7 separate regions of the Mus musculus genome follow, and all the other regions are reported to be linked to region 2. The links are microRNA targets in miRTarBase. Many come from high-throughput screens and were not tested one by one. Region 2 holds a microRNA gene; each other region holds the end of a gene's coding sequence.
What was found. Region 2 holds the annotated microRNA mmu-miR-425-5p (AAUGACACGAUCACUCCCGUUGA, at 1,583-1,605, shown strand). A microRNA usually pairs through its seed, bases 2 to 8, with sites in the 3' UTR of a target mRNA and lowers its output. Matches are read on the target gene's strand: a 7mer-m8 pairs with bases 2 to 8, a 7mer-A1 pairs with bases 2 to 7 and ends in A, and an 8mer does both.

Region 1: miRTarBase lists Mysm1 as a target of mmu-miR-425-5p. The part of its 3' UTR that is shown has no 7-base or 8-base seed match.
Region 3: miRTarBase lists Zdhhc2 as a target of mmu-miR-425-5p. The part of its 3' UTR that is shown has no 7-base or 8-base seed match.
Region 4: miRTarBase lists Fmn2 as a target of mmu-miR-425-5p. The part of its 3' UTR that is shown has no 7-base or 8-base seed match.
Region 5: the mRNA of Sestd1 is a reported target of mmu-miR-425-5p. Seed matches in the 3' UTR shown: 7mer-A1 at 1,648-1,654.
Region 6: the mRNA of Grk2 is a reported target of mmu-miR-425-5p. The part of its 3' UTR that is shown has no 7-base or 8-base seed match.
Region 7: the mRNA of Atp5g3 is a reported target of mmu-miR-425-5p. Seed matches in the 3' UTR shown: 7mer-m8 at 2,698-2,704.

The regions. Positions count from the first base shown.
Region 1 is chr4:94,944,533-94,947,614 of GRCm38, forward strand. Mysm1 (myb-like, SWIRM and MPN domains 1) reads right to left here. Exons shown (of 20, transcript NM_177239.3): 20 at 1-2,591. The coding sequence ends at 2,433. Among named protein-coding and RNA genes, the nearest start is that of Eqtn, 17 kb to the left of the region's middle.
Region 2 is chr9:108,567,207-108,570,288 of GRCm38, forward strand. Mir425 (microRNA 425) reads left to right here and starts at 1,571; the gene lies at 1,571-1,655. It overlaps Ndufaf3 (NADH:ubiquinone oxidoreductase complex assembly factor 3), which reads right to left and starts at 230. Exons shown (of 5, transcript NM_023247.2): 1 at 1-230. It overlaps Dalrd3 (DALR anticodon binding domain containing 3), which reads left to right and starts at 2,686. Exons shown (of 12, transcript NM_026378.3): 1 at 2,686-2,869; 2 at 2,944-3,082. The coding sequence starts at 2,705. Mir191 (microRNA 191) reads left to right here and starts at 1,113; the gene lies at 1,113-1,186.
Region 3 is chr8:40,474,172-40,477,253 of GRCm38, reverse strand. Zdhhc2 (zinc finger, DHHC domain containing 2) reads right to left here. Exons shown (of 13, transcript NM_178395.4): 12 at 2,447-2,519. The coding sequence ends at 2,479. Among named protein-coding and RNA genes, the nearest start is that of Cnot7, 36 kb to the left of the region's middle.
Region 4 is chr1:174,820,614-174,823,695 of GRCm38, forward strand. It overlaps Fmn2 (formin 2), which reads left to right. Exons shown (of 18, transcript NM_019445.2): 18 at 606-2,116. The coding sequence ends at 632. Among named protein-coding and RNA genes, the nearest start is that of Gm51689, 65 kb to the left of the region's middle.
Region 5 is chr2:77,184,656-77,187,737 of GRCm38, reverse strand. It overlaps Sestd1 (SEC14 and spectrin domains 1), which reads left to right. Exons shown (of 18, transcript NM_175465.6): 18 at 478-3,082. The coding sequence ends at 607. Among named protein-coding and RNA genes, the nearest start is that of Ccdc141, 16 kb to the right of the region's middle.
Region 6 is chr19:4,284,368-4,287,449 of GRCm38, forward strand. It overlaps Grk2 (G protein-coupled receptor kinase 2), which reads right to left. Exons shown (of 21, transcript NM_001290818.1): 20 at 2,986-3,082; 21 at 1,632-2,897. The coding sequence ends at 2,733. Among named protein-coding and RNA genes, the nearest start is that of Ankrd13d, 2.8 kb to the left of the region's middle.
Region 7 is chr2:73,905,800-73,908,866 of GRCm38, forward strand. Atp5g3 (ATP synthase, H+ transporting, mitochondrial F0 complex, subunit C3 (subunit 9)) reads right to left here. Exons shown (of 5, transcript NM_175015.3): 5 at 2,648-2,908. The coding sequence ends at 2,794. Among named protein-coding and RNA genes, the nearest start is that of Atp5g3, 4.0 kb to the right of the region's middle.

The DNA of each region.
Region 1 (3,082 bases), not on the chromosome of region 2:
GTTTTACCTTACTGGTCTTGTTCCACTGATTTTGCTTTCTTGAGTATTAGTTTTGAAGAACAGTAAGTCTAATATAAGAGAAGTACTATTATTAAGTGTCCTTAACCATGTCAGAATAAGAGACAAAATTTAAGCTCAATTTCTATTTTTATGCACCAATAAAAATAGAACCCAGGATAAAGAGACTCAGGCATTGCTGGTCCTCCACTTCTGCAAACACTGTTGGGAAGGGCGGTCTCTGTCTGTCTCTCTCTGTCTCTGTCTCTGTCTCTCTCTCTCTCTCTCTCTCCATGAACTTCTGTGTTACATGTCCCCTCAAGTTCCAGACTCATCTGTGCTTCTTTAAGGTCTTGGCTCTAACCAGTCTCAGGAGGCCTAGGTTGGCCACCTACAGCTGCCAGAGCAAGTAGACACTAGGACAAGAGAAGAGAAGGCAGCACAGAGAACAGACAGAAAACAAAAGCAGACAAACAATAACTGAATATCCTGAATTTATGCTGTTAAAAACTGGTTAAGAATCTGATTCCTATGTAAAATATTTCCTCAACAGTAGGTTTGAGATACTTGCACTTTGTATATATTTCACTGTATTTAAAAATATTTCATAAGATAAATTACAAATATATTCTACAGTCAGAAAATAGTTGTATTTTCTCAATAGTTGCTTAAAAACTTCTGTTCTCAAGGCCCTACACTCTGACTATTGGCACCCGTTGGGTCCTTACAATGTATAGATCAGGGTAGTGAATACTCTTAACCACTGGCATGTGTAAAGTCCAGATTTGAGAAAGAACTTTTTAAAATTCAACAGCATTCTAGGAAAATTGCAAGAAAGTAAATTATCATCCATTTCAGGTCTGTGCCAACAGCCTATGAAGAGACAGGTGAAGAGGAAGGAAAACAGAAAGGAATGAATTAATTGCTACTGACTTTTGTAGCCTTGTGTGCTTGAAGAGACAACAAGTGATAGAATTCAGCTCTTTGAATCTCAACTGATGAGTTTAGAGAGCTGAGCGTGGAGCGAGGCCCCTTACCAAAGCTTAAGCAGATTAGGTTGAGAGCTCAGGATTCCTGATTTTTGCTCTGGAGTCCTTGCACTTCCAGATTTCAAGAGGATTTTACAAAGTATGTTTCATTGTTCGTATTAAATGTACAGAGGGAAATGGAAAAACTGCTAGTTCTCTTTTAAAGCTACACATTAATTTTGCAATTACACGATCTTATAAAGTTCCAAAAGTGCAGCCTAACAAGCCAGCAGATAAATCAGAGTAGGAGCAACACTCAGGGCTGGATTAGCCTCAGCTACATAAGACAAACTTGGCCTAGAGAAAGCAAACGCCTTTTCTTTAAATCACAGTGCCCAAATCAGATTCAGGTCACCTATGACTGCAGTCACTCCATCCAGTGCTGCCTCCCCCTTTGGCTACAACTACAGCAAAAAAAAAAAAAAAAAAAAAGAAAAAAGAAAACTCTAAACTCACATTCAGTTTCAATATAACAAAACTGTTGCCAATAAGAAGGCCTGGACAGGGTCAAACACCAGTTCTCCAGCAAGCAGAAATATTCACTAATACTTACATGAACAATTTGAATTTACAACATGAAAAAAGTTTACTTTTAATATTCAGCAAGTGCATGAAACTGGGTTAAGCTATGTAAAATACCAGATGGCATTTTTTTTTCTATTGTAATATGTGACTCATTTTTCTCTTTCTCCTGACAGTAGGGAAAAAAGCTAGGTTGAGGGCTACATTACCAAGTCTAGTTCAATGACATTTTGTCACATGCTACTGCAATTGGACAGAGTTGGAGCTAATTATTTCCCTTGTGAAATTCATTTAAACATTTAAATCGCAGAGGAGGCTGACTGTCCTATGGTATAGTGTACACAGTAAGATGAAGCACACACCGCAGACTGAAAATTGGTTCTTCTCCCCTTTGGACTCCTGTCTGAACATTACTAAGGATGCTCCCTTTTGCTGTGTTGGCATGCTGTTAGATTTATTAGTCAGTAGTTCTCAACCCCATTAATGTTCCACACCTAGGCTGCAACATCCAAATAACACACACACACACACACACAATCTCACCACCAGAACATATGGGAAGAAAGTGTGTGTAATGAGATGGCAAAGTGAGAAACAGTCCCTCTGAGAAAAAGCGGAGCTCGGTCATCTCCTAGTTATTAAGCCGCACACCACGAGGCAGAGCAGAGCTCAAGCTTTCATGCCCACTGCACAGCTTAGCATAGGCAGGGCTCTACCACTCTTGATTACCACTATGAGAACAAGGGCTCTCTCTTCCTTCTCACATTATCTATGTGAGAAAGTTTAGAGTTTTATGGATTAAAAAAAAAACATAATTTATATTGCTTTAAAATCTCAATTATTTACAGTAGCATGCCAAGATTAGAACATCTTACTTTAAAATAATTACATGAACAATTCCTTTGTACTATCCTCTTCTGCCAGTCCATTCTCTTCCTTGCTTTTGTAATTGGAAAGGAACAGATTTTCTATTTGAGTCAAGAACTCCTCAGCGATGAAGCAATTGGCTACTTTGCTCAGTGTTTTCCTTAGACACTCCAAAAGCTAGTAAAAAAGAAAAGTTTTATATTTAAATATTTAAGTATTAAGAGGGCTTGCATAACTGTCACTATTTCTTTTTAAACCCCAGATTTCTTAATACCCAAATGAGAAACACTGTCCTCACAAATCTCAGACGAGGGCACTGGAATCACTGGTGAAGGTACATTTAGCTCCCTAACAACTCCGCAGGAAATAAACCATGCGCAAGGAATTCTCCTCACTTTGTACAAATCTGTGATTTTGGCCCTTTTAGCAGTTACATTTACAGAGACAAATTATCTCTAAAGTTTTAAAAACAAACAATGCAAACAACCAAGCACGTAAGCCTGTGGGTTTAGGGATGAAGCACAGGGCCCAGACAGTGTGCAAGGTTCAAATCGGAGCCCATCACAACCAAAGGAACAAAACGAGCACTCAGTACATAGCGCATGGGCAGTTTTCTGGGAATGCACACATTGGTCTTTCAATAGTATATAGAAAAAAGCAGCAGAAAG
Region 2 (3,082 bases):
TCAGCCATTATTCGGGCTCCCAGGGACCAGGGCGGGGCAGCTGCGCACCTGGTCCTGTTATGAACACCTGGCCAGGGTGTGGTGCCAGCCTCCAGGCCCTTAATCCCAGGCTTTGGAGAATCGGGCTCCGGGGGCGGGGCAGATGGCTAAAATTTCCCTAGCTAGTCTCGAAATCGCTGCTTTCCCCAACCGTCACCAGCGCGACCGTTGGCGACGGCGCAGCGCTCCATGAGAGGCGTGGCCGAGCATGGATTGGCTTCCCGGCAGCGCGAGGGGGTGTGGCCAGATGGTTTCTCCTTAAAATGGCTCCAAGTCTGGGGACAGCTAGAGCCAGCGGAAGGGCACGCCGTGGCAGTGCTGGAGTAGCTGTTCGAGTGGGACTGACTGGGCCAAACCGGACCAGACGTGAAGTAGACCGCGCCTGGAGCACCACCCCGCCCTTGCGCGCTCTGCGCGCGCGTACCGAGAGTCTCCCTCCCCCTGTCTTGAGCTGAGTCTAGGGCCTACTGGCGCATGAGTCCTTGGCGTCCCGCGGCATGGGCATCTCTGCGCACCGGTTCTGTCCTGGCCTCAGAGGAACTTTGTCGCGTTCTCTATCCGCTGGACTAGACGGGTGGGATGCTTGACACAAATGGGGCTTGGCTGTGGGGTTCTTTGCAGGGCCGGTTGCAATGGGCTTGGGGGGAGGCTGTCCTGCCGCTGCTATGTGGGCCAGTTTGGCCCCTGGCACTTCATGAGCTGGCACCGTCACCAGACAAAAGGTCCTAAGCTTTGGGGAGTCCCAGAAGTGGACACATGGGTTTACTTCCTCTCGGGTCTCACGGAATCGCTTCCCTCTTGACGGATTCCGAAGCCTGCCCGGTACAAGTGGCTCCTGCTTGGGACTCACAGGGCTAATCCAGCCCTTCTGATCTAATCCGGATCAGGACCTCGTCCCGGGGGATGCCCCCACCTTCTATTGTTCTGGGGCCCAGGTGAGCGTCTCATTCTCACTAGACTGGTTTAAAACACCTACTCCTTCCTACTCAGCCCACTGGGAAGGGATGGGCGGGTTCCGGTTTGGCCTCAGGGCGAGTGACCTGGGAGCAAGAGCCCTCCTCCAATGGCTGGACAGCGGGCAACGGAATCCCAAAAGCAGCTGTTGTCTCCAGAGCATTCCAGCTGCACTTGGATTTCGTTCCCTGCTCTCCTGCCTGAGCAGCGCCCTGGCCCAGATAATGTGGTCTCTATTCTCAGAAACACTACACTACTGGGCCATTCTGATCTCCATCTCTCAGGTGCACCCCCAGACTGATGGTGGCAGTCAGAGGCGACGAAAAAAGCTCGGGCTGATGGCCCTGTCTGGAATCCCTGGAGAACTCTGACCAGGGAGGTCCTGGGTCCTCTCTCTGAAGGGCCGCAATGGCGGTGAGTCCCACAAGGCCGCCCAGCCCGCAGCTCGCTAAAGATAGATCTTCACTTCCTGGGGAAAACCCACCCCAACCGTCTTCATGGAGGGAGAGTAGCTAAAATCACCAACTTGCTGGTGGGTCCCAGCCCTGCTAGCAGCTGAACCCACACCACAGCATGGAAAGTGCTTTGGAATGACACGATCACTCCCGTTGAGTGGGCACCCAAGAAGCCATCGGGAATGTCGTGTCCGCCCAGTGCTCTTTCGGCACCTCCCAAACAGGGCCTCATAGCCCCGGCCTTCCCGAACTTTTCCTATCTCTAGATGTCACTCCTCTCCGGAGCAAAGTTCACCGGTTGGATTCATTCATTACTGGGGGAAGTGGAGTTTCACGTTACTTGGAAACGAAAGAGTTTGGACATAGAAAAGCTCACCTGCAGCTTGCTCTACCTGAGAGCTCTGCTTATTTGGGTCTTCTCATCATCACATTTGTCTTAAACTGACCAGTTGCCTAAAGAACCAAAGGTGCCGGTAACACCAGTTTAAAGGAAAAACATTAAAGGCTGGTAATCCTGGAATCATGATGACTAATTCCTCGGGTATCAAGATGGGCAATTCTATCCGATTGGGCTTTTACTGGGAATAAAGACATTCCATACCGCAGCCGAGGAAAGGCGTACCAATAATCAGAACTCAAATTTTGCTTTGTTTCGTTACTTTTCCAAGTAGGCGGTAAAGAGTCTTTAATGGAAGACACGAGTGGTGGCACACACCTTTAATCCCAGTACTCAGGAGGCAGAGGCAGGTGGATTTCTGAGTTCAAGGACTTTCTGGTCTACAAAGAGTTCCAGGACAGCCATGGCTACACAGTGAAACCCTGTCTTGAAAAACAAAGTGTCATTAATGGTACAGCCTTATTCCTTTGACATTTCGTCTCGTGCGTCTGGCCTTTAATTTGTTTAAATGGGGCAGAAAAAGAAAAAAGAGACATAAACACAAAGATGTGAAACTTTGGTGGCAAAGTGTCTTGCCTGGTAACAAAGATCCGTTATCAAAGTAATAATTCGGGGTGACGATTTTTTTAAAAAGGAGGAAAAATGGACCCTCAAATTTGGAGGTTAGGGCTCATGAATACAGGAAAGGCCATCGGGAGGGAGAGCTGGAGGCGTGGGTAGAATGTAAGCTCACTTGGCATGCTCGATCGCTCTGGTCCATTCAGGAGAGTCCACGGCCGGATCCCCGCCCCCGCCAGGCGGACCTCCCGGAAGCTCTACGGATAACTTACTTCCTGTTCCATTTAGTCTTCCGGTCGCCATGGCGACCGGGCGCCTTGGGGTTGGCGAGACGCTGGAGGCCCTTAATGCAGCTGTAGGGCCTGGTAGCCCAGTGTGGTTTAAGGAAACCCATGCCCGGCACCTTCGTGTTCGAGACTTCTTGGCACCGCGAAGCGCGCTACAGGCGCGCTTCAGGGACGGCCAGGTGGGTGCGCTCCTGTGGGGCATGCCTAGCGGGATCCACGGAACTACGGCCCACTTACACACATCTGCCTGCAGGTGCCAGAGTGCGTGTTCCGTGCGGTCTCCTGCCTGCAGGGTCCCGGAGTGGCCCCTGTACTGCGCTGCGCGCCGACACCCGCGGGTTTATCGCTCCAACTACAGCGGCCCGCTGTCTTCGAACATGTACTCGGTGCCC
Region 3 (3,082 bases), not on the chromosome of region 2:
CCCTTCTTTATTCCCTGCTCCTGAGCAGCAGAAGCTAGTTAACAGAAGCCAATGGCTTTTGGATTTAGAATAGCAAAGAGTTCTAGACAGAAGAATTGCTAAAGGTAACCTTTGACCTTGCTCTTGACTCCATACTCCATTGCTTGGCTGCCTTCCTCAAAGAACTGGTGCAGAGGACTGAAATTTAATTTAAAAACTTTTCTGGCAATGGTTGTTACTTAAATGAGAAACACGTAGAAAATTACTTGGTGGTTTTTTGTTTGTTTTGTTTTTGTTTTTGTTTTTTAAAGGTGTGTGCAGTTGATTTTGCTGTGATTTGGCTATAAATACCAACTTTATATGTTCAAAGGTCATAGAATCAAGCTTCTGTTGGTTTTTAATTTTAATTGCTCAGTTACGACTCTATCAAATATTGAGATCCTACAAATGCTGCCTCTGTGAAATGTGTTTGGCACTGGTCAGTGTCAGAATATTAGAATACAAAGGAGACTTAGAAACAGCGTTGTCATTTAAACAAGTGGACTATTTATAAATATAGAGAAAATTCTGTACTAAAAATGGCCACTTAAATGATGGTAATTGTAACCAATGGTTTGAAATACTGAAAACAAATCTGGAGGACCCCATGTCTTACACAACTATGTTCTCTAAATTATTATTATTTTTAGATTATTTATTTTATGTATCTGAGCACAGTGTAGCTGTGTATTCTGACACACCGGAAGAGGGCTACAGATCCCATTATAGATGGTTGTGAGCTACCACATGCTTGCTGGAAATTGAACTTAGGACCTCTGGAAGAGCAGTCAGTGCTCTTCATCACTGAGCCATCTCTCCAGACCTATAAAATATATAAATTTTTTGCAGTATTAACTAGTACTTCATATTTTTCCACTCACAGGTCCATTCTTAGGATCTTTTCTTGAAATTAAGTAATACCTACTTGGAATTTAGTATGATTCAGAATATTCCATTTTCACCTTCCTAACTATAGCTATAATTAGTGTGATCTATTGTACTATCATATATTCAGAAGCGATCATGGCTTCCAAAAGCCAAAACACTATCAACTAGCAGCTTATAATTTAATTTGTATTCACTCCCCCCCTGCCCCCCCCCCCCAGACAGAGTCTCATTATGCAGCTCTGAACGACGTGGAGATCACTACTTAGCACAGGCTGGCCTTGACTCCACAAAGCTCTACCTGGCTCTGCTCCTGAGATTTTGGGATTAAATGAACAGGCCTCTACACCCTTCTGTATTTTACCCTTATTTACATTGTTATTCATCAAAACCAAGCAAAGAAAAATTTTAAAACATTCAATATTCATGTTGATACAAATTATTTTATTTTGGACAGCAATCCCATGTCTCTCTAAAAATGGAGGATTTTTAGAATGCAGTTTTTAAAATAAAAAGTTGTGTTTATAATTTTTAATGTGTAACTTGGCTATAATGAGCTTGTTCTTTGTTTACATGCTTTGAAGATAGGATCTTTCCATGTAGCCTCGGCTGGCCTAGAACTCCTTATACAGACTAGCTTGGCCATGACCTTGCAGCAATCTTTTCTCTTTTACTTACTGACTGCCAGGATTACAGGCATGCATACCATATATGGATATATTGTATCTATTCTAATGTTGCACATATAGGGAGAGAGCTGGCTTTTCTCTAGATGCACAGGTGTTTATTTCAAAGGCACTCTTTATTATCCCTTTGTGCTAACTACAGGTTTATAAACAAGATAGGATTTAAGGAATCTTATTGGAAAGCACAAGTTTACTTGTTACTATAATTTAAAGAAAACGAACAGGAACAACTATTAAAGAAGACCAACGATGAGTTCCAACAGTGAGTGACCCAAAATGGGGATGATGAAGCTTGTGCTGACAAGACTTAGTCATCTAGTACTTAGACCAAGTAAGAATCAGCTAATAGATGGTCAAAGATATGATGACAGTACCCTCAGACAATACCCTCAGTGAGAGGAAAGGTTAATTCTGGGATCCTGCAAAATGTAAGACAGTGCTTGTTTTAGGATCCATCCCTGTCACGTTTCCATGAACTAATTTTTTTTTTTTTTTTGGTTTTTCGAGACAGGGTTTCTCTGTGTAGCCCTGGCTGTCCTGGAACTCACTTTGTAGACCAGGCTGGCCTCGAACTCAGAAATCCGCCTGCCTCTGCCTCCCGAGTGCTGGGATTAAAGGCGTGTGCCACCACGCCCGGCCATCAACTAATTTTTATAGCTTGCCAAGTTAGCATAAATGCTGGCTGATACTGAAGCTAGGTCCATAATCCATGTCCAACATGACTCGTGGAATCCCGTTGGTCATGTAAGATACCTTCCAAGCCATTCAAAATAAATACTGCTCATGGAAACTATTAACTCTTTGAGACTAGGAAGCTGTTAAAAATAAAGTGTAACAATAAAATCAAAACATCTTACTTTACAAGAGTGGTTTTATTTTGATTGTAGAACTAAGTCTCGTTCTCCATAGTTAATGCAGGGTTGCTCATACCTTAAAAAACAAATTAAGATTTTTTTTGGACTTCTTTGAACAAATGGCAGGAAATTTCTACCTCTAAAGGCCCTCTATAATAATAACAAAAAGTTTTTTTATAATGTATTCATTTTTGATTTATAGAAACACATTAGACAATCATACACTATACAGTATTAGTTAAATCAATACTCTCTTCTCTCTTCTCTTCTCTCTCTCTCTCTCTCTCTCTCTCTCTCTCTCTCTCACACACACACACACACACACACACACACACACACACACACACACACACACACAGACCAGAGCAGGGGCAGTGAGGGAGGACAGAGCTAAGGAGGCAGGGGACCACAGGAAAGAAAGATGTGTGGGGAGCAGGCATTGCATCCACTTGATTTCCCAGCCTCTCCCCTCTCTTGCTGGATGAAAGCAGCATTTTTTTCTCCCTCCCTTCTCAAGTCCTTCCCACCTTCCTTACTTCACCCTTTAGCTTCTCAACTTAGCAGTCGAAAAACCGTAAAAAAATCAACCTAAATTGCCAAGTAATTAATAGCACATTAAAAAACAAGAAATCAGCAATA
Region 4 (3,082 bases), not on the chromosome of region 2:
GAACATTTAGGACATGAAATAGAAGCATTTTAAGATTTGTTTTCATCTTTGACTCAAATTGTATTTATGGATCTGTATGAATTTGTGGATGCAGATACCTGAAGAGGTGAGGAGAGGGCTTTGGATCCTCTGGAACTGGAGTCTCAAAGTTTGTGAATGACTTCACATAGGTTCTGGGAACTGAACTCTGGGTCTCTACAAAAACAGTGCATGACTTAACTGCTGAGCCATCTCTCCAGCCTAAAAGAAGCCCCGTGAATTGGATTTAGTATAACATAGTCTAGATAAAATAGACAGTACAGATGACTCAAACTGCCTTAGGGTTAAGTAGCCCTGATTAGAAAATATCTCTATCCTCAGATAAAATTTATTTTCCCATCAGCTTTTCTGTATCAAAATCAGCCTTATCTGATGGTAAATTTCTGATGCTGCTTTCTGATAAAAGGTTAATAAAGCCATATTGAATAAGAGGAATGATTATCAGCTAATACTTATTATGCTGCTATGAGATAGAGAATTTAAACATTTCAACCAAGAAATCAATCCACTGGTTTTGATTCTGTATTCATGCCTTTGCATGTGTATGTTTTTGTTTTTGTTTTTAGAAAGCGAAGATAAGCATGAAAACGTGATCTGTGACCAGAACAGCAGAAGAAAACAAGACATTGAAACAACTTGCGCAGCATCCACCTGACATGAAGGAGGGAAGGAAGCTCCATCCTCCTAGACCTTTTCCTCTGAACCTCTTGCATAATCTTCATGTTTTCTAGGCAGTTTGTTGATTGTTGAAATTTATTGTATGTGCCTTTAAAATGGCAAAAGCAGTAGACCTGTGGAGATTGAACACCTTTCCTTTTTGTAAACATTGTGGTGTTATACCAACAGACCCAAGTGGCACGTCTAAGAGGCACTATCTGCATAAATTCTGAACATGATGAGCCCTAGCCTATGGTTTCTCTCTTGTTGCAACAAAAATATTTTCCTTTTTACTGACAACCAGAACTCCACATCGATGTGGTTAGACTTGTGGGTAAACTTCGTTCCTAGTGAATTCTTTGTATCTACTTGACTTCTGCTTATACAGTGTCTATTTGAGAAGTAAATACCATCAATATGTCATGATTCATACCTCTCCCATGCTTAAGTTGCTCTCTATGATATTTCCCTTGAAGCCCTATGAAAAACTGGTCTGCAGCAGAGGTAAAAGAAATCATGGGATGTTTCTCTATGTCTAACACTGCAATAACCACCCCCCTCTCTCTCTCACACACACACATACACATACACACAATTCTCTCTCTTACACACACACACACATAGTTTCTCACTCATGGACCGATACACATACACATACATTCTTTCTCACACACATACACAAGCTTCACTTAATATTTTCAAGAAATTTGAGTAAGTAAAGTTCATGACAAATTTATTTTTTGACAACCACTTATTGTAAAAAAAAAATAGAAAAAAAATAGATGGATCAGATTTATCAGGACCGTGTTAAGTAAAATACCTGTCTGCATATTTTGACATGCCTGGGTTGTGATCATGTGTTACAGCAGGTGATCTACCACTATGATGTGAGGATGATGTATTCGTTTCTCATCTAAAGGGCCCTAGGGAGGGAATTTATTCACTCTGTCAGGAAAAGATTGGTAAATTTCCTATTCTTTCAAACCTATTTAAGCCAGATCACAATTGATTAAGATGGTTTTATATAACATTAATAGTTGTTCTTTTCAATTGCTGCTAATAATATTTGTTGAGAGTTATGGTTTTAGAAAAGGGGAAAAATTATTGCTATTGCAAACCAGTTACAGACAGCAACTTAAAAATAATGTTCTAAATCATAGCTATACTTGTATTTATGTAAAGTATGATCTCTTGCCTTTTACTTTGTATTTTGAGTGCAAAGAAACAGTAGTGTTTTATTTTCTTCTGCTGGTGTTTTGTAGCTTTCCTGTCCCACAGTCCTGCCAATGTGTACATACCACTCTTCAATGAAGTAATAGGGCATTTAACAAAGATCGCTATGTGCAATACTGTATTTAGTGTTTCTATTTCAATTTTTTAGGATGTTAATTTATATGAAAATAAAATGAATAATAAAATATTTCTGTGTCAGCTGTGTGCATATCATATGTGTGTGTATATATATATATATATATATATATATATATATATATATATATACTTAAAAAATAAAGACATTGTGTTCAGCTTTTGCCAGGGACTAGGGATAGGAAATAAATCAACTAAATATCAATCGTTTCAGGATTCTGGAACTTAAGCCTCTCATGCTACCTGAGTCAGAAATCCTGATAAAATATTAACTCTTCACCCAGTTTTTTTCTTTCCTGAGATCTGACAAACATTCTACTGTCCTAATATCAATTTCCAATGTGATACTATACCGTAAAATTTATTATATGCAAGACCAGATTCAGTTTGTCATCTTCTCCCTCCAAATTTCATTCATCTGTGTTATCTTCCTCAGAAAACAAAGCCTACATCCTCAGGTACAGGAATCATTCTTTATATCTTACTCTCTCTTGAGTCTCCATTCATTCAACTGCCAACACTATTATTAGTTGCGACTGGTATGAAAGTGTTCTCATTTTCCTCCTAGACCATGAGGGTCTTAGTTTAAAACTGGTATGAATTACCTTGATAGCTGTATTGGTTTTGATTTGTTTTATTTACCTTGATAGAAATACCTGAGCAAAACCCCTTTTTGCAGAAGTGGTTGATTTGGTTCACAGTTCAAAGGGACACAGTCATGGGTAGCAGGATCATAAGGTGACTGATCATAGTGCTTTCACATTCATGAATCAAAAGAAGGGGGGCAGAGAAGGAGAGGGGCTGGTGCTGTTCTCAGCTCATTTTCTCCTTTTTATTCAGTCTAGAACCTCAGCCAGTGGAATAATGCTGTTCATATTTAAGGGTAGGTATTTCTGCCCCAGTTTGCCCCATCTAAGACATGCTCAGAGATTTATCTCCTAGGTGATCTCAGAACCTGCCAAGTTTGCACTCAATATTAACATCACAGTATCTTTTAATTGCTGCCATATTCAAAGAT
Region 5 (3,082 bases), not on the chromosome of region 2:
CCTTTTCTTACCGCCCAGCAGTGACTGCAGCTGCAGCTGCAACTGCAGGTGGGATAATTGTGGTTTTTCAGGTTACAGCAGTGGGGGCTTCCTAGAGCCAAACAGATAGACAGAACTTAAATGAGACACAAGGGACATACTGCTATGTCATGAACTTCCAGTGAGTATTTAGAATTCATATTGAAAAAAAAATTACCACTTTATTCCCTTGGAAGAATATCATTCATAGTCTACACTGAGAAAATCTCTAGGGATACCTGGATTTGAACTGTCAAAGTAGCTTAGTGTCATATGATTTACCGGCAGCAAAAGAGCAACCCCAGCAGAACGGGTTTATAGGTACAAGTCACTGTGCCCCAGATGAACTAGTTTGAACTCAAAGGTCATGTCATATTTTATAACATCTGCTTTTATGCACCTGGTACAGTTAAATGAATTTGGATTAACCTGTGTGATTTCTGTGTGTTCTAATTTTAGAACTGAACAATATTTTGGAAGTCCAAGTGACATGGCTTCTACTGCAGAGCACATCAGGGACAGAATGAAACTGGTCAGTCTCAAAAGGCAGCAGCTGAGACATCCCGAATTGGTGACCACGGAGAGCTAATGTCCCCAGCTCCCGCAGATCTGCAGGTCATACGCCCACATTCTTTGCTGCTGGCATTCTCTGGGGTTAGCCACAGCTCGTTAAGATGCATTTCACAGCGGGATAAGCCTCCTTTCTTCCCACGACACGTGTCTCTCTCTAAATGCTAACATTTCTCCACCACCAAGGCATAGTCACAACATGCTTTGAGACTGTAGACTCCTGGTATCCTAAGAGAAGGAATTGTAACCACCGCACTGAGTCCTCGCTTTCACGCCGTACCTGACTTGTCAGTTTGTAGCCAAACAACCAATACTAAGCTTTGAATGGTGCTAATCAGAGTTTAGGAATTCTCTATAAAACATGGCTGCCCTTCCTCCCCAGGTGATGTAGGATATTTAGACCATAGTTAGACTGTTAGTGAATAGTGGTGTCCTCAAAATTTTACTTTGTAATTCTTCAAAATTGATTATTTTTAATGTCTATATGAAGAAAACCCTTCAGATCTTTGATATATCATATTCATTGAAAGACATTTTCCTATTGTATTCATAATGTATTAAAAGTTGTTTGTGCTTAATAAAAATCTTCTTTAAACATCTTATTTAATTTGGTAGTTACGTCCTGCTTCTAAACACGAGTGCCTTACTAACGGGGCATTCTTAGAATTGTAAGGAGGGTTAATCATTGTTTGTGATGGTGGATGCATGTATTTTAGGCAAGAATTTCATATGTATGCATGTGTATATAATAAAAAACAAGCATGTTTATTGTGAAGAATAATTTAGACCATTAAGAACATAATAATAGAATACTATTTTAAACTTTTCTCTTGAAAAATGGTGTCCAGAATATTAGCTCCCCTGAAGACACTTTGTCTGTGGGGAAGGAGGGCTAAAGATGAAGGTATACATACTCAATGTAATCTTTTATATCACAGCAATCACTCTGGAACTAAAGCAGAAATTGTTAATAATATTTAATATCTCATGGTATTAGAGGCAAAAAAATCATCCTGAAGTATAGTCACAAAAACTGTATAGATCTTTAGAAATAAAATTTGTCATAAAATGGTAATGCTTTTATGTTTGTATTAAGTTATAAAATGTATATACTTTAACATTGTGTTAATTTTAATTTTAGAATATATTTTAAGGTGAAAATAACTGGGCTTATCAGTACAAAATTATGCAAAGAATCGTATGCAGGTTTATTTTTCTGGTCTGTAAAGACGATCACGTACCTTCCTATGTTCAAGCCAGTTTCTCCAGCCTTCTTTTTTGCCAGCCTTGATGAATTTCATCATCCTCACCCTCACCCTGTGTCACCTTTCAGTCAGCTTTGCGCCTCACTTTACAGGAAACGGCCATAGTCTTCTGGGTCCCGCATTGAATGTTTTTGCTCTCTGACACGTCACCTTCCTTTCGCTCCGTTTCTAGTCTCTCCCTAACAGTGCTCCATCCCTCAGTGGTGCTCTCTCCTGCCATGTGAGGGCATGGTTTAGGTCTGTTGCACATGCACACTGTGCTGCTGTCCTCAGCTCTTGCTCATTGGGCATCCCATCCCTAGTCCTGCATTTCACGTCCGATCCCAATTGCATAGCTTTCAGCTGACTCGGTCCTCTCCCCTAAATGAAAGCATATCCTACTTGCCTTTTCTTCCTGAGTAGTTTTGATTAATGGTGCCAACAATGTCCAGGGCAAACCTCAGCTGTTCCCCATGTCTTACTCTGCCTCTGAGACCATCCAGAAGTCTTTTCTATACTTGATAACCCTTCTTCAGGGCTCGCCTCCTGTGCATAGGAGCTCCTGTGATTCTTTCTTCAGTCTTCATGATGGTGCTAACTTTTCCTGTTACATCATAAAGTCCTCTTGGGGGTGACTCTTGTCCCACATGTCTTGTGCCTAGACCTTTGCTCATGTGTGACATGCTCAGTCCTACAGCTGTGTTCCTTTGTCAGCGTTAGTAATAATCTCTCCACTACTGCAGTCTGAGGTCTATTTAAACAGTGTTTGGCTTTTCCTAGCGTTAGAACTGACTTGTAAATCTGTGTCCATGGAATGTGTCTGATGTTTTAGATCCTTAGATGTGGAACTTTTAGATATTGTTTATATTCAGTATCAGTCTCTTTTTACTGAGTTTCAGCATCATCAGTATCTTTATTTGACTTGGTAATTATGCCATCAGCTCATGGATGCATAATTTCAATTTAATTTTCATATATCTTAAGCCCTCTTCCCTGCAAAAAGTGGAATAAGACAAACCATGGAAATGCCATGTCGGACTTGAAAGTTAAATGGAACGAGATACACAGAATGGACATAGTCGCTCTTCTTTGGCAAATGTGGACCCCTTTTCCATGGGTTTATCTTTATAGATACACAAGAGTTATGAATAAAAACCGAGCAATGCCCAAACTGACTTTCCTCATGTGGTCACAGTTCACTTAGAGGACATATGAAGGAGGTGACTTCGGTTTGTGTGAAATCTCAGGCC
Region 6 (3,082 bases), not on the chromosome of region 2:
CCCACCGTGTGTGCTGTGGTCAGGTCATCTACGATGTCTGGACTTTGGGAGGAACTCAAGGCCCTGAGCTTCTAAAGGTCCAGAGCTCTGCAGTTAGGTCCTGCTGGTCTCTGCTTCTGTCAGAGACTTCCTCCTCAGCATCGTCACCCTGGCCCTGGACGGCCTAGGACTTGCTGCAGTCTTGAGCATCTCTCCGCCAGTCTTTACTGCTCTGACATCGACCCTTCTTTCCACATGGACCTCCCTCTCCTAGCTGACAGCTTGTCCACTCCCATCTGATATCACTTCCAGGACACCTCTGGTCTTAGGTATTCCATGCTGCCATATTAGGGTGTCAGAAGCCAAGTCCAAACGCCTTTCTCTCTTCCTTCCAGGCCAGCTGTGCTCTGAGCTATCATCACCTCTTTTTTGTTGTTTTGTCTTTTGAGACAGGGTCTCACTAACTAGCCCAGACTGTCCAGGAACTCTCTCTCTGAGGACCAGACTAGACCCAAACTCACAAAAGTGCTGGGATTAAATGTGTGCTCTGCCATGTTCAGCTCCACCTTACCTCTTGACCAACAACATGGCCTCCCTCACACGCTCCCTCAGTGTGGCCTGGCTTACTACACTGTTCCATTTTTTCCTCTCTGGCGTCTTTCACCTCTTCCTTCACAATCACCAATTACAAGAACATCTTTCCTGGACAGAAGCAATGGTCCTATCTCCCCACTTCTTGCAGTGACCAGCTATTTGTTTTAGAGCCAGTTCTAATGACTGCAGCCTGCCCTAAAACTTGAGACCTAGCTAGACATGGTAGCAAACCCCTGTAATTCCAGCACTTGGGAAGTGGGGGCAGAAGGGCGAGGAGTTCAAGGCCATCCTTAGCTACACAGTGAGTCTGAGGCTAACATCTGCTAACCACCCAGAGCCAAGCAAGTTCAGCCCCCGGTCTGTTCAACGCTCCAGGATGCAGTCACTGAGTGATCTGGGACTGTGCTAAGTTAAGGCTGGCCTTTCAGGGCCCCAAGGCCTGGTTCCTTCCATTGCAGTTTGCTGTCTTAAGTGCTTGACCATTCCTGATCTTAGAAGCATCTCTACGAATGACTACACTAATGCTGGAGGTACAGCTCAAATGCCATTTCATCCAAGACCTCACAGCATCTGCCCCAGAATTCTCTCCTCCTCTGTGCACTGAACAGGAAGGGCAGTGGTGCTCACAGGCTGTCTCTGGCCAGGCCTGGAGCAGGGGCACAGGAAGAGGAAGGTCATTCCTGGGAGCACAGGCTTGATGCTGATGCTCAAGCCAGAGGCCAGGAGAGCTTACACAGTGAGGCCAGTGCCAGCCAGACACAGCCAAAGGCTCAAGAGATGCAGTGTGGAAGAGAAAACAGATGTGTGCCGAGAGGAGTGGGGATTAACACAGTGCTTGACGTGCAGGGGCAACTTGCTGAAACCAGTATACCCCCAGCCATTCCAACCATGACAGCTGACGAGAACTACTACGGCTACTCCTGCTTATGTGGGAGGCGAGCGGAATAATTACTCCACCAGGGAGGGGAGGACGGGTTACTAAGCTCCTCCCCTTTCAGGCCCCAGACTGAAGTGACTGAAAAATAGTCACCAGGCACAAAGAGTCTGAGACAGCGAGGAGTCAGGCACCATTTTTTATAAAAACGCATAGTCTCATTTTCCACTCTTTAAAATCACATTCAAAAATCGGCAAAGAAACGCCCTAGGAGTGAGTAGACAAGAGGGGAGGGTGTGCCCACCCAGCCCCCAAGGGGAGAGGGCGCGACACCACACACAGCTGCGCGACTGGCACAAGGGGTCATGCGGTGGGCAAGGTGGCACCTGTGGGCAGTGGCCACTGACATGACATGGGCTAAGGGGCTGGACAGTGTGGGTGGGGGCACACTGACCAGCCAGGACAGGGAGGGCTGGCCCCAGCTGGGTTCTTATGCTGTGCCACCCACCTGCCCAGGCTGTCCCACTGTGGTCCTGGGCAGGTGAGCCTCACCCAGCCCAGGGTTAGGGATCTAGGTTCAGGCTAGGCCAGTGTGGCCCAATCCACAATTGTCTTTTCTATGCTCCTGAGTCCAGGCACGCAACAGGAAGAAGAGGGGACTTGCAGGGAGGCCAGCAGCAGCCACTGCCAATGGCAGCCTCCTGATGAGGCAGTGGTAACACACAGGCTTTTCCTGAACAAGGACCCAGGAGCTGTCACTGTGGGAGACCTCCTAGTCTGAGGAGACAAGGGCCTTCTCTCACCAGTGGCAAGAGGGCAGGACAGCAGGGGTCTGTCCCTCTGTGGCATGGGAGCTGTGATAGGAAAGTTCAAGTAGTACCCTGTGTTGCCCCTTTCTAGGGCAGGGGTGCTGGGCCACAGACTGAGCACAGCCCACAGAGCCTGAAGTGACACACCCACTGAGTGTGGCTTCACCCCATGGAGGGGCAAGAGGGCTGCTGAGGGTTGCTCTTCTTCCCTGTAGGAAGATACTGGGAGCAAGGACCCTAGGGGGTGGGAGTGGGGACAGGGGAGGGGTGCTAGACAGTGGCTGGGTTGGTGGCAGCAGGAGCTGAGGCAAGCGGGCCCCTCCCTGGGGGCTGGGCCAGGCTGGGGCCACAGGAGATCACAATAATTACAAAATAAAACATTTTCCGCTTTGCGGGAAAACAAATAATAAAAATTCAACAAAATAAATTAGAGGTTTATAAAAGGCGGGTGGGCAGGCGGGCAGCACATGGGTGGATCAGAGGCCGTTGGCACTGCCACGCTGGATCAGCGGCACCTTGCTCAGCTCCACCACAGGCGAGCGTGGCTTGTTCTTCATCTTGGGTACTCGCTGTACCAGCTGCTGGGCCTCGCGGTAGGCATCACGCAGCTCCTTTTTCCATTGCACCAGCTCTGGATCACTCTGTAAACATCCAGGCTCTGTCAGCCTCTGCTGGTCAGGCACCCACCCCCCACCTGTACCCTAACCTCATCCCCTCACCCCCACTTACATCACACTGCAGGACAAACTGCTTGCCACCTCGGATCTTAAGCAGGAGACACTTGCGTTCCTTGATCTGTGTCTCTTCCACTGACTGGATCTCCTCC
Region 7 (3,067 bases), not on the chromosome of region 2:
TTCACAGCTTTTAGGCACACTGCATTGGTCCTCTCTATACAGGACCAAGTCTACTTCTAAGATTCTCATATTTAAAATTATACAAAAATCAAAATTCTTTATTTCCCCAAATTAATTTCTCTTTGGCATCCTGGACATAATCATATTGAAAACCCTAGCATGGGTTCTGAAACCCAGGGAGTTATGAACTCAGATCTGGGTACTACCAAACAATGGCCAAATAATTTGGGAAATGAACTGATTTTTCCTAATTTTGCAGGCTTGTTTTGAGTATTGACAGTATATGTGTGAAGCCTTTCTTCTCAGGAGTAGTAGGGAATAGACACCCTTGTCTTTTCTGACTGGCCCTAGAGATCTAGGCAGGTCCCAATACTTTTAGAGATTCCTTTCTTTTCTCTCTTTCTTTCTTCCTTCCTTCCTTTCTTTTTTTTTTTTTTTTCTTTCTTCCTTTCTTTTCCTTTTTAAGATTTATTCATTTATTTTATGCATGAGTACACCACCATTGCTCTCTTCAGACACACCAGAAGAGGGCACCAGACCCCATTATGGATGGTTGGGAGCCACCATGTGGTTGCTGGGAATTGAACTCAGGTCCTTCAGAAGAGCAGTCAGTGCTCTTAACCGCTGAGTCATCTCTCCAGCCCTGAAATTTTCTTTTTAAGAATTATTTTTAAAATTAAAAAAAATTAGGGCTGGAGAGATGGCTGGGCTGGAGAGATGGCTCAGAGGTTAAGAGCACTGACTGCTCTTCTGAAGGTCCTGAGTTCAAATCCCAGCAACCACATGGTGGCTCACAACCATCAGTAATGAAATCTGATTCCCTCTTCTGGAGTGTGTGAGGACAGCTACAGTGTACTTACATATAATAAATAAAGTCACCCAAGTGAAAAAAAAAATTAATCTTATGTGTATGTACTTTTGCCTGTGTGTATATGTGCACCACATGTGTGCCTGGTGTGGGCAAAAGTCAGAAGAGGACTCAAATCTCCTGGAGCTAGAGCTACAGATGGTTGTGAGCACCCAACTGAGGCTGGGAATAGTGCTCCAGTCCTCTGCAACAGTAGTAAGTGCTCTCATCCACAAAGCCATCTCTCCAGTCCTGTGAAGTTCCTTTATAATTATCGTGGCCACCATCCTAGACTAAGGCCTCTGTGTCTAACAGTTTCCTTGGGGACTGCAACATTCCATCCTGTAGGGAAGTTTCTTAAGCATGAAGGTAAACTCACAAGCTGCAGTGTGCTCTAGGTTTCTAGATTTGTGAGCTGTCATGGGTGCCAGAGTGGGCTTTGGTGATGCGGCTGCCTTTGAGACATCTCTGCTACAGTAACCCCTCACTCATATACGTGTAAATAATCCCAATAAAACTCATTGGTTCAACTTAGGGTTTGGTAGTATCCATACTTGTTTTGCCATGGGTCCCTTACCTGCCATTTCCCCAGGAAATTTCTTGCCACACAACATCCTATTTATCACTAGAAGATCTGCTGTGGTAGCCACTGGTACTGCTGACTTCAAGCCATTCCACACTGGTCTTTTTCTGACCATTCTGGAACTCTAAACTAAGCTGGCCTTCAACTCAGAGATCCAGAGGCCTCTCCCTCCCAGACTAAAGACACGCACAAGCACCAGACCACCTTGGTCTCCTTAAATAATTCTAAACATAGCTCCAAGGGGTTTTGTTTTTGTTTTTTCGAGACAGGGTTTCTCTAGCCCTAGCTGTCCTAGAACTCACTTTGTAGACCAGGCTGGCCTCGAGCTCAGAAATCCGCTTGCCTCTGCCTCCCAAGTGCTGGGATTAAAGGCGTGGGCCACCATGCCCCGCTGTCTGTGATCACATGATAAAACTCATTTATCTGCTAATTTGTGCATTTGTGTGCCAGCCTACCTTTCACCTGTAGCTCACACTGTTTCCTGGCAATGTTTCATGTGCCAGTGCTCTTCTGTTTTTAAGTCTGCAGTTGAGCCACTCACTAGGTGGTCCTCTTGCTACTCAAGGTTTAGCATAAGGTGGAGACAAGCAGTGTTCTCAAGTGATCTCTTCCCTGGAAAATGACTCCCAGCCCTTCCAAACATCTCTGTATGCTTACTCATAACAGTAGGAAACTCACCTACTGGTTTTCTTTCTTTTTTTTCTTATTTTTGGTTTTCGAGACAGGGTTTCTCTATGTAGCCCTGGCTGTCCTGGAACTCACTGTGTAGACTTTGTAGACCAGGCTGGCCTCGAACTCAGAAATCCGCCTGCCTCTGCTTCCCAAGTGCTGGGATTAAAGGCGTGCGCCACCATGCCTGGTTTATGGTAACCATGTAATGAGATGGTTTTGTGCATTTATAACCTTGTTCAAGCACCAATCACCCAAAATGAAACTCCACAACTAACAGTCAGTCACCCACAGTTCCATGCTCCTAGAGTTCCCAATAACTTCTAATTGGCCTAGTCTCTACAAAGTTACCTATTTTATACAAACAAAATCACACTATGGGTCTTTTGCTTGGTCTACTTCACTAAGTGTTTTTCAATGTTTCATATTCATCACTTTTTCAAAACCAGGGTAACTGCTGTACCTTCCTCTGACTTGGACAACCACCTACCTCAACAGATCATCTTTATGATGATCCACACTTATATAAGTACAAATCACAGCAAGAATTAAAGTTTTCATCTTTAATGAAATGACTGTGGAAATAACATATATTTCCATGACACCAGTACTACAGTCTTCGGAGTCACAGCAAGATACACAGAATTACATCCGTAATTACTATGAATGCCAACATTTCAGGCAGTAATTTCTGTTACATGGCAAACAAGATCAAGAACGCAACCATCAAACAAAAGAGACCCATAGCTTCAGACAAGGCAAATCCCAGGATAGCATATGAGAACAGCTGCTGCTTCAGTGAAGGGTTTCTAAAAGAGACACAACACAGATGACTGTTACTGTGAAGCAACGTTGATGTCAGCACATTGGGTAAATGGTAGAGTCAGATATCTAGTATGGGGATCTTTGCAAGTCTCATGGGGGTGCTATCTCCTATACCACTTTGCTTTTGTCTCTCAGAGTATTTT